3 linked regions of the Mytilus edulis genome follow. The protein of the gene in region 1 interacts with the protein of each later gene in a pairwise test. Links are inferred from orthologs where the notes say so. Each region holds a gene or a part of one and is shown on either strand. Other genes may lie near its edges. The genes, in order: pre-B-cell leukemia transcription factor 1-like, C-terminal-binding protein 1-like and homeobox protein Meis1-like.

Region 1 (3,763 bases):
TTTGGGACATACAGACAATGGTAAAACTTAATGCCCCTTGGCTATGGCAGGGGCATAAAAATGGTAAAGAGCATGCATTGGTCACCTAGGTACAATACATGTATATTTGCAATTGTGCATCTGAGTCATCTTCACTTATTATCCAAGTTGTAGACTAGACAAGAATTCATGACAACAATCTTTTTTTGTTGATCTTGTTTTGCAGATTTTTTTTTCTATTTTCAGCTGGCTTGCCCATAATACAAATAATTGGGGAATGCATCCCTATGGACACAGATATTGACAATTTGTCCCCACTTTTCATATGATATAAAGTTATAAAGGGACATACATTGTAACTAAAGAAAGGTAATAGTGATGCTACCTAATTTGAACTTGATCTGTATTTTGTGGTAATGAGCATTGTGTACAAGTTTCATAATTTTTGGTTGAGGCAAACTAAGTTAAGAGTACGGAGAAGAAAAATTCAAACATTTTATCTATTTGTAAAGGGGTATAACTCTAAAACAGTTATAGTGATACCACCAAAATTAATAAAAATTGCCCTTTTAAGATCATGACCAGTAGTAACAATGAGATATTGAATGGTAGTGCAGTGAAAACAGTTCACCCCCCAGTGGCGGATCCAGAACTTTTCCTAAGGGGGGGCCCGCTGACTGACCTAAGAGGGGGCCCGCTCCAGCCATACTTCAATGATGCCCTATATAATCAACCAAATTTTTCCCACGAAAGGGGGGCCCGGGCCCCCCAGGGCCCCCCTGGATCCGCCTATGACCCCCTGCAACAGATTCAGTATTAACTTAGCTTAATTCTAAATCTTTTAAAATTATATCTGGATTAACTAATTAATTTGCTTTTCAATATATAGATGGAAGCAAATATAATTGTACATTTGTATTTGCAACTTCAGCTTGATACATTGTTTAATTTGAACCTTGATTAATTTGAACCAAGTTATAATTACAAGTACAGCAACAATTTCAATTGTCCTACGTTTTTGTAGTTATATTCTTATTATATACAGTCTCCCACAAATGTTTATAAGTTATCATGCAATAAAACATTTTGAAAAATAAGCCAAAAACAGTTTTTTCCACAGTTCATTTTTTTTTTGGTTGGAATAGATAGACTTAATTCCCCCCCCCCCCCCCCCCCCCCCCCCCCCCCCCCCCGTTTTTCCTCACTTGAGAACTGATTTTTCAGCCAAAATTAGTCACAAATATTACAACAAGCCATTTGATACCCTGAGATATTTTTTTAATGCTCCCAAAAATATGTAACTATTTCTTTCTAGTTGAAATGGCACATATTCAGTTTAAAACTTGCAAGTTTCACGCTGATAAACACTGATCACTGCTGATTAAAATTGTCATTATTGTTCACAGTAACTAACATTTTTAACTGAAATTTAAAAAAAAAATGTTTTTAACAAACAAAATATTCCATTTTCTTTTAAATGCATGATCATGCATGCTTTTTTGAGTGAAGACTGAATATAATATTGTTTTTCTTAGCATTTGGCTTATGACCTTACATGTATTTCAGGGATAGTTCTCAATATTTGGGAAACTTTTCCCTACTTGGCAAGTTGATCTTTTCTTTAATACTGTCATTAACCTTACTTTGATACAAAACTGTGACTTTATCACTTTATGTGCAACTAGATCACTAAATGTGTATCTATAATACACATAGTTGTTAATTAAGTCACAAATCTTTGACAAAGTATTTGTTTGTTAGTAAATTATATGAATTTACAAATGTACAAACAATGTTTACCAAACTTACTTTTTTTACCAAATAACTAAAAAAAAATACAAAAAAAATATTTGGAAAAATAATATAGGTTTCCATACAAGAGGCTTAAAAAAGGGTAAATTTTACACACCTGTTTTTTCTTTGATTTCACATAATACACTAAATAATGCAGGTTTCATTCTGTGACAGTTCAATGTGTGTTTCCTGCAATAAAGAAAACAAGAGCATTACTAAGAACTAGGAATATTATTTCATAACTTCGCGCTGAAATATATCGAACAGATAAGAGAGTAAGAGAAAATTTGAGAGACGACAGGCATAGAATAAAGGAAGGCATGTACCGGCACCTTGCTTGTGCTTCGTCAAGGCTTTGGTCTGTAATTGTCATTATCTGTTGAAGAATATCACCAATTTCTTGCTTTCTCTGGTCCGAGGGATCGTCTCCCTGTTGAGGAATCCCATACTGTTGAAGCACATTAGTGTTCGCCATTTGTCCCTGGTTATGCATCATTCTTTGCTGGTCGTCCATTATTTCACAGTAGGTTTTATTCGACCTTAATAATCCATTTATGTCTATGTTAAGTCATTAAAACACTTAGCACTAATTCCTACAATGCCTTTGTTTGGATAATAAACAAATCCTAAACGTAAACAATGTCCACACTTATGCCAATCTGGGAGGGCTTTTTGTCACTGCCAGTCAAAATGCCTCTAAACAGAAATGGCGGCTCGTCATGCATGCAAAGAACATCATTCTCTCCGTTAATGCACAAACATCCAATGAAAACGCAGATTCGATATCTTCGTATTTTTCCGTAAGGAATGTTTTAACTAGATATAAATAACAGCCAATGAAATGAGGAAAAATTAGTCCCGATACCACACGCCCTTGACGAAGATTGACAGCTCGGAGATGATTATGAGATGACTATCTATTAGAGGCCCCAGGAAGGATAAGCACAATAAAAAACAAAAATGCTTCGCTACGTATTTTCACCTTTCGCAATGCATTCCAATTAAACAATTTTTAAAGAAAATCCGTTTTTTTTAATTAGAAAATGAGATATTTTTTTTTGTGATAAAGGATAAGAATTATATTTAAAAATCGACAATCATCAAGTCTTTAAATGAGGACAATCTGAAAGGAGCTGTATGATAGTGCTACGCATTAAATGCAACCTATAGACAGTTTTAGTAATGTAACTTGCATGACTAACAATAATCCGTTTAAGTTTATGCAAAATTACCTTTTAAAATATCTTTCTGTGTGACCAACCATGTACCCTTTGTCAGGCTATACTGAAGTCCAAGAGGCTTCCAACCATTTTGTGTAAACTTTACCTCATCTTCAATAAACATGAAATAGTTGCAAATAGACATTTATGAATTGAACTAAAAGGTCAAAAATAAAATTATATGAAAGTTATTTCACATTGACAGGTTTTTTAATATACATGATTGCAGCCTCACAAGTGTTGATATATCCTGATTTTTTGGGGGCTTTTCTTCTTCATGTCCAATCTTGCATTTATTTTTCAAGATTTTGTTTCACTTTGGCATTTAGTATACCAAAAGAAGATGAAAAAAAACAACATGGTTCTGAGGTCTATGAACTTGTAGTATCATGCTTACTGCGGTATTTAATTGAAGAAAAAAACACCCCACAAAACAGAGTATAAGGATACACACAATTTTTTTTCTTCAATTTTTAAGAAACCATCAAATTGACACATTATTGCATAAAATCAATTGTCAATAAATCATTCATGTCAATCTTATTGACAGCTAAGTTAAACATGGATGAAAGTTAATATGACGGACACAAAACTCCTATGGGCACTCATATACATGTACTTACAGAGGAGCCATTGGCTTCGAAAGGCCATTATAACTGAACAAAACATCATATGAACGATAACATCTAGAATTTTAGGTCAAATGTTTAGCCTATTGTTTCAAAAGCTGCTAAATATGTAAAAATGGTAAACAATTCTCTAAATATTGT
Region 2 (3,763 bases), on another chromosome or scaffold:
TAATTATACTAACAAAATACTGAAATCGCAAACTTAATGTATTCCTACATCATGTACATGTTTATGTACTTGTTAAAATGTGAAGTTTTATTGTAATTCATGTATGCAATGTGGACTTTTTCCACATACATGCACGATGTGTCAGAGCTTAAGCTACTGAATGGCATGGGTGAAGAAGCTGTTCTGTTACTTAGCTTTTTCCAGTCACCATGGTGAAATAAATTGTCAATCTGGTTGTCCTACAGTTGTCCACTGTGTTTAATGTTAAAATAATTCCTATAATTTTGAACAATACTAACAATGATATATAAAGTATTTCAAGCCTATGTTGGGACATACCCTGAAAACATTTAAACCTTATGCTAGCATGCTTATCATGAAAAGGTTCATTGTAAATGCAATATTGGCACCTTTTATTACAGTACAACCCGCCACATTATTTATGTATGTGCCTGTCCCAAGTCAGGAGCCTGTAATTCAGTGGTTGTCGTTTGTTTATGTGTTCCATATTTGTTTTTCATTCATTTTTTTACATAAATAAGGCCGTTAGTTTTCTCGTTTGAATTGTTTTACATTGTCTTATCGGGGGGCCTATTATAGCTGACTATGCGGTATGGGCTATGCTCATTTTTGAAGGCCGTACCGTGACCTATAGTTGTTAATGTCTGTGTCATTTAGGTCTTTTGTGGAAAGTTGTCTAATTGGCAATCATACCACATGTTCTTTTTTATATGTATGTAAGAATGATCTTTATTTTGCGGAAAAATCCCATTATATGTTGTTTTCAGCTGCTATGAAGCTGATCCACTATGAAGACCTAAGACATTAAATTGGACATCTACATGTACAAATGTACACAAATTTAATGTCTTTAATTTACTCCCCATAGGTTAAAATGTATCAACAGTGTCCCAAATGCAATTTTTCAAACTTCAAATTACTTTCTTCCAGTGACAAAATTTAATTAATCATTGCTCAAGCTGTTTACATATTATTTAAGTTTATGATATCATGTTCAAGATAATTTATTGATAATCTACAATACACCTCATAAAGTTGGTAGGTTCAAGAGAAAAAAATAATATACAAGCAGATCTTTAGTTTGCACCAAATAAACTGTTTTAAAGATCGGGGAAAGGATGATAGTTATGAATTTTGAAGGCTTGTAAAAGTAATAGGGCATTTCAAATTATAAAGATGGTGGCTTAAATTTAATGCATGAAGGTATCACAATGCATAAACCCTCTAGGGAGAAACACTGCATGTTACATGTATTAAAGTTCTTTAGTCACTTCTTAGTTCTAGAAAAGTAGCAATTAATCCTGTTTTAAAACGGTCAGTGACTGTGGTATAAACATAAACAAAATTGCAAATTACAATTATTTTCATCCAGATAAGCAGTTGTATCTATGTAAATCAGTTTCAAAGTTCTATAAAAATTCAAAAATACAAGTCTCTATTAGAAAATAATTCCCTATTTGGTCTAAAATAATGCACTATATGCATGTTAGTATTAAGCTTATTTCAAAATAACTGATCAATGAAAGCTGAAAAGTACAAATTGTATGGATAACCTGTCTGTCACTGTGTCTATCCAATAATAAACAATAAGGAAACTATGAATGCAAATATATATCCTCAAGTTGGTATTTAATAACTACTATATAATTCATTTAAATTACTGTTTAAATCAATAAAAAATAAAAAAAATTATTGCACAAGAAAATAATTGCATCTAAATCTAAATAGCCTGCAGATAGCTTGTACAATATTTGCCATTTAAATAACTGATAATCCATTTTATGGATTTATCTGTATTTAAATATTTTCTTTTAATGTATTTAACCTGTAACAACTTACATATAGATACTAATATCAATTCAATATCAACTCACATGATAAACATGTCTTTATTACCACAAGAACTTATTGATCTTCAAAAAGATACACACGTATATTACACACATATCTTATGACTACCAATCAAGAAAAGTACACTACTGTTAGATAATAGCATATCAGATCAAAAATAAACCACATACTAAAACATCAATACAACTTAGCATGTTAATCAATATGTATAATAAATCATTTGATTATCTGTCTGCAATGGTCTGCTATAATAGACATCATTTTGTGCCACTGTGTAATACACATCAACCAAACAATGACAGGAAATAGTTTATAAATCCATGTTGGCGTGTAATGGACACCCTTCTACTTTGCTGGGGGTCATTTGCATAAACTGCACCGAAACGAAATGCCAACTTGTCCTTCCATTTAATTTTTAACGACTTTCAATTTCTGTTTATAGGGCATTTGTGTATTCAGAACAACCTAATATATGTGCATTTGTTGTTGATTTTAATTAACTTAAAGACAGAAATGAAATAATTGATTAAATATTGTGATTATGAACTATAAATGTGCATATCCGATACATTGAGGCATGCCTTTGATCTCAAAATGGTTGACCCAGATATTTCATCCCTTTTCAAATCAAAGTCTTTCGATGTATTAACAAAAACGTTACATCTAATTATATAGAAGGGGAACTGAATGAAAGCGGTGATAATTAAATGTAAGTGAACATAATGAAAGTGTGTCACTACAGATGAAAGTAAACAAAATTAGCTCACCTATCCATTAGCACTTTAGACAAAGAATAGAGGTGATGATCCTTTGAAACTTCAGCGGCACAAATAACATATATCACTCGTAATATCTCACCTTATCAGGTGTCTATAGATGCAGAAATTATTAATTGTAAAACATGTGCACATGTGGGTAAATACTCCCCCTTTAAAGTGATTTAAAACGAGTAATTTGGAGGCCGTAACAAGCCGGTGCTCTCCGATAGGCTATCCAAGCCGAATATAATCTCGCACAATCTCGGAGGACAAACATTTTATCCAATATCCTTTAAAATTTTATTTTTGCATACAATTTGAATGCAAATGATAAACTAAAATAAACAAAATAAATAAATATGTTTTTTTTATTTATTTTATTATTAGGTTGCGTTCGAAATCTACTTGAGGACGCTCTATTTCCCGCCATTTTAACTCTCGTTATGTTTAAAGCTTTCACATATTGATCATATTGCTAAATTGTGATACGATTTAATATTATTTACTATCTTTAGTTTATACGATAGATCAACATTCTAACCCCTTGATAGATTCTTTGTTTTTATTTCGTTTCCCATTCGTACTGCGCCATACACTTCTTCACTTCTTAACCGCTGAAATTTATTCGATTTAACTTGTGACAATGGTGATATGATATTGAGCTACAGCAATGACCACACAGCAAAGTGTAAATAAAGATAACAGTAGTATATTTGGTAATATAAAACATTCTGTTAAATTAACAATATTACATGACTCAAAGACGTATAACTAACATAATATATATGCATGACTGAAATACATTAATTTTGTATATCATAAATAAATGCAGCAGGGAACATTCAGGACAGAGAAATACATAAATAAATAATATACTAGTACATTTCGAATATTAATAAACACCTACATTAATACAACAGTTCACAGAAAACAGAATAAAAAAATTGTGAATTGTGCAGGGGGCGTAGCTGCCGTTACACATAATTTTTCCACAAATATTTTTTTTTAGTAAAAAAAATAATAAACAACGTTATCTGTAGATGAAAGCCGGTGAAGTTGTCAAAACTCTTTTATTATCGAATGCCATGTGTACACTAGTCTCTCGTCCTTAGTGAATGGAATATTGGATAGAA
Region 3 (3,763 bases), on another chromosome or scaffold:
TTATAAATTATCACAAGACAAGTTTTGAAGTTTGAAACATGATTAAGTAATTTTGTGCTTATATACATCATAAATTAAAGTGCAGTGTTTCTTAAACAAAATGCTTACAAGTAGAATATTATAGAGAGTTTTAGGAGGCTAAGTTTGGGCCTTTTTAAAGACCTCAATTTGATGCACGTGCGTCCAAGTAATGCGTTTACAATTTCCACTGTAATTTGGATTTGAGAGCTGGTTTCAAAAACTGTATTCGTAAACTTTGCACTGTAAAATATATCTAAAAGACTAATATTGACAGACAAATCAGACAGACACATATATATATGAACAGGGTTTAGAACCAACCGTGCGAGGGCTGTATAGCCAGTCAATGTCGTTAAAAACTCCCATCCTCAGGGTTTAGAAATAACCAGATATTAATTTTCCTCTTACAAATTGTTCGCAGACAAAGTTTTATATATATAAATATGCATAGACTAATTTTATATGTAAACTTCATTCTGACCTTCAAGGTCCATTTTTACTTTCACTCAAGGTTTCTTTCAATAATGCTAATTCAAGTTTCATTCAATATTACATTAATAATAATTTAGATCGTTCACATAAAATCTTTTTAATTCTAAAATCGGAAATATTAAAAGTTTAACAAAATATGGTTGCACATAATAACGTCTCTGATTTGGCCATGGCCGTTTTTGTATGATATTGGTAATTTACAAGTTATGACGCAAATCATTTTATTAGTTCTATCGATGCAATTTGGAATTTAAAAAATTGCATGTCTGAATTTGTAATTTCTAAACTACAAAAATAATGCAATATATGAATAATTAAGAATAAATTTAAAGAGAAAATAATCCCATGTGGCGCAACATGATTCAAATATCCAAAAAAAGTCGACCTACAACAGATATAGTATTGCATATATTTCAAATAAGTTGTAACTATAAAGTAGATATTTTCCCCGCAAACTTTTGTGAGTCCGAAGCGAGTTTCTGGATATGCCTTCATCAGGAACGCTAACACATAACCAATTTTTAAAGTTAAGAGAGTTAAAATGATTATAATAATAATAATAATAATAATAATAATAATAATAATAATAATAATAATAATAATAATAATAATAATAATAATAATAATAGATACTAATAATAACATTTTAATAATAATAATAATAATAAAGTTAATAATAAAAGTTTATAATAATAGTATTAATAATCTTATATTATGTTATGATTATTCAGTTCAAATGGAAAATCATTTAACAGCGTCAGAAAATCGAAAAATATCAATTATGTTGTTACATGAATGCGTAAAAACATATTCAGTTTTGACATATTGCGATGTTAACCATGAGTAACCCCAAATTGATATGGAACACAAAATTATACGAATAGATAAAGGTGTTTGCGTGTTGTGTTTTCTATCCAAATAGATAGGTTTACACACACCGTAGAGTTTACTTTCTTATGCATAACTTCTCCCCTATAAAACCCAAATAAAATACATCTGCTTTAAATATTGATAAGATAACAGACAATTATTACAAATAAAAGCACAACAAAAATCCAGCTAATTAATTATAAGTCCAGACATACTGCAACGTACAATAAAGTTTCCCAAAAATAGTCGGAGTTATATAGAATGCACTAATTAAATTTGTAAATGAAACAATTCCATTTAAACTTGATCACAGTTTTTAAGTTCCTTCTTTCCCTAGCTCCACACAACGTAAAAGTTACTTTTGTAATTGTTCGGTGATCAGTTTTGACAATTTGTAAACAACCATAAATAATCGTGGGCTAATAGATATTTCTTTTATCAATGATGTGTATAAAAATTGATGGGCAGTGAATTTTGAATGAATTGCGGACAGGTTGGGGAGGGGCATGTTGTCAAAATGTCACGAAGCAATCAACTGTGTAATGCTTTCTACCAGGTCCGCTTTAATCGATGACCAGTCAACCTGAATATTATGTCATGTATAACAAAGTAACATGTTACAAAAATGAAAACTAATCAGTAATAATTTGCGTGATTCTTTACCACAAATTAATTATATCTGAAGATATTCTCTACTAAAGTGTTGATTAAAAGCTTCTTACCTTGTGTGCGACAGTGAGTTTTATAATCCCTTGATTAAGATAGCCAGGACTGGATTACAACCCATATGTCAATATTTTAGTCAAATACTTGTGTGAAAACACGACTTCCTTAGACAGATTCTAATATTTTATGAGTCCGTGTTTTAGCTTGTAATGACATTGATGGGTGAAATTCTCTCATACAATAGTAACGAACACCTCCAAACACCATTATTCAAAGGTGGGTGGGAGCTATGTCAAAACTTTCCTTATAATAATTGTGGATATCGTATATATAAAATTATCATATTCTCTCCCCGAGTTGTCAATCGACCAGTTAAAGACGAATCGTAAGGCAACAAAATTTCTCACTACAGTTTACTTCAGCAGTTTTGCTAATGAGATAAAATGATTCTAAGGATTTTTTTCTCATCAGATTGTAGTTCTTTCATATTCAGTGATAAACATTTTGAAATATAACTCCTATTGTGATGATTATTTTTGAAGATATTATTGGTGTCTTTATTAGCAGAAATCTGCATCTTTATTATAATAAAACGTCCTTTTTATTCAGATGTGCAAAACTGTGTATTTAAAATAGTTTTTTTTACAAGTTATTAAATACTAATGAAATATATTTATGGACTTTTTATGGAGAAATTTGAACACGCACGTTCCGTTATTAATTTAATACTTAATTATTGACTGTATAAATTGTTTTTTAAAACTCAGTTGGGGAAATTAAATTCTAGCCCCTAAGTCGACTCCAAGTGTAGATAATACATCGAATTATATAATTATATGACTCCCTCGGCTTTTCAAATGACAGCAAACACCTATATTTTGCGGGATGTATAAATACGCACTAACGCGCGGCTGTGGACGTTTCAGTTTTACAAGACTGCCTGCATCTCGATAGATTAAACTGTTGTTCTCATTGTTGAAGGCAGGCCGGTGACATTTAGTTTGATTTTTGTGTCATTTGGTCTCTTGTCACGTGGACAGTTGTCTCATTGACGGATACCACATCTTCTTAAGTTTATATTTACTGATATATGGTCAAGTTCTTGTTGTAATGGATATTCATGAAACATTTGACATCGGATGCAAGACAACCAGTAATCAATCTGTTTTCAAACAAAACAGCCAAGGATATTTTGTAGTGTTTCATACATGAAAATATTATTAAAATTATCATCATTTCATCATATATTGTTTACAAATACTAGTCCCAACTCTATAAATTGCTTTAAGTCCAAATCCAGTTTGGTCTCGACTATCATAAAACAAAAGGTTGCACACGTTATTAGTTTAGAAATAGGACACTCTATCAGGTCATTCTTTGAGATTCTCCAGTCTCAAAAAATTTAAATTTGATGATTATCTTTATTAGCTGAAACGTAAATTAAGTGTCAATTTTACTGGTGCCACAACATTTGGTTCTTTTTCTTAGTCGTAAAAATTCAAATAGAAAACCAAAGTTCAGCTTCTCCAGTCCAACACTGAATAAAACCGATGCTGAAGAGGCTGGTGTCTGTTTATGTATAATTCTAATGTCCAATGATTCAACTTTCACTGTTTGATAAGTCTATTGAAACGCACACTGTCTCATACTAACCAACACATTCTCATCCTTAAATGGGAATCCAACTCTCGTCCTCAAATCTGATCGACCAATC

What was found.
Region 2: the proteins of pre-B-cell leukemia transcription factor 1-like (region 1) and C-terminal-binding protein 1-like interact in a two-hybrid assay, tested with the Drosophila melanogaster proteins (2 studies listed by BioGRID, with this or other methods). The link is inferred for Mytilus edulis from reciprocal best matches to the Drosophila melanogaster genes exd and CtBP.
Region 3: the proteins of pre-B-cell leukemia transcription factor 1-like (region 1) and homeobox protein Meis1-like interact in binary tests that used the Drosophila melanogaster proteins (3 or more experiments, as listed by UniProt). The link is inferred for Mytilus edulis from reciprocal best matches to the Drosophila melanogaster genes exd and hth.

What each region holds. Positions count from the first base shown.
Region 1 is NC_092345.1:80,585,734-80,589,496, forward strand, and holds the start of pre-B-cell leukemia transcription factor 1-like, read right to left. Parts: upstream 2,520-3,763; 5' UTR 2,288-2,519; coding exon 2,100-2,287; intron 1,963-2,099; coding exon 1,889-1,962; intron 1-1,888. UniProt on the Drosophila melanogaster protein: Transcription factor which acts with the selector homeodomain proteins altering the regulation of downstream target genes such as wingless (wg), teashirt (tsh) and decapentaplegic (dpp), thus affecting segmental identity.
Region 2 is NC_092347.1:74,060,419-74,064,181, forward strand, and holds the start of C-terminal-binding protein 1-like, read right to left. Parts: upstream 2,880-3,763; 5' UTR 2,640-2,879; intron 2,243-2,639; exon of another isoform or gene 1,896-2,242; intron 1-1,895. UniProt on the Drosophila melanogaster protein: Corepressor targeting diverse transcription regulators. Hairy-interacting protein required for embryonic segmentation and hairy-mediated transcriptional repression.
Region 3 is NC_092346.1:31,664,756-31,668,518, reverse strand, and holds the start of homeobox protein Meis1-like, read right to left. Parts: upstream 2,328-3,763; 5' UTR 2,106-2,327; intron 1-2,105. UniProt on the Drosophila melanogaster protein: All isoforms are required for patterning of the embryonic cuticle. Acts with exd to delimit the eye field and prevent inappropriate eye development.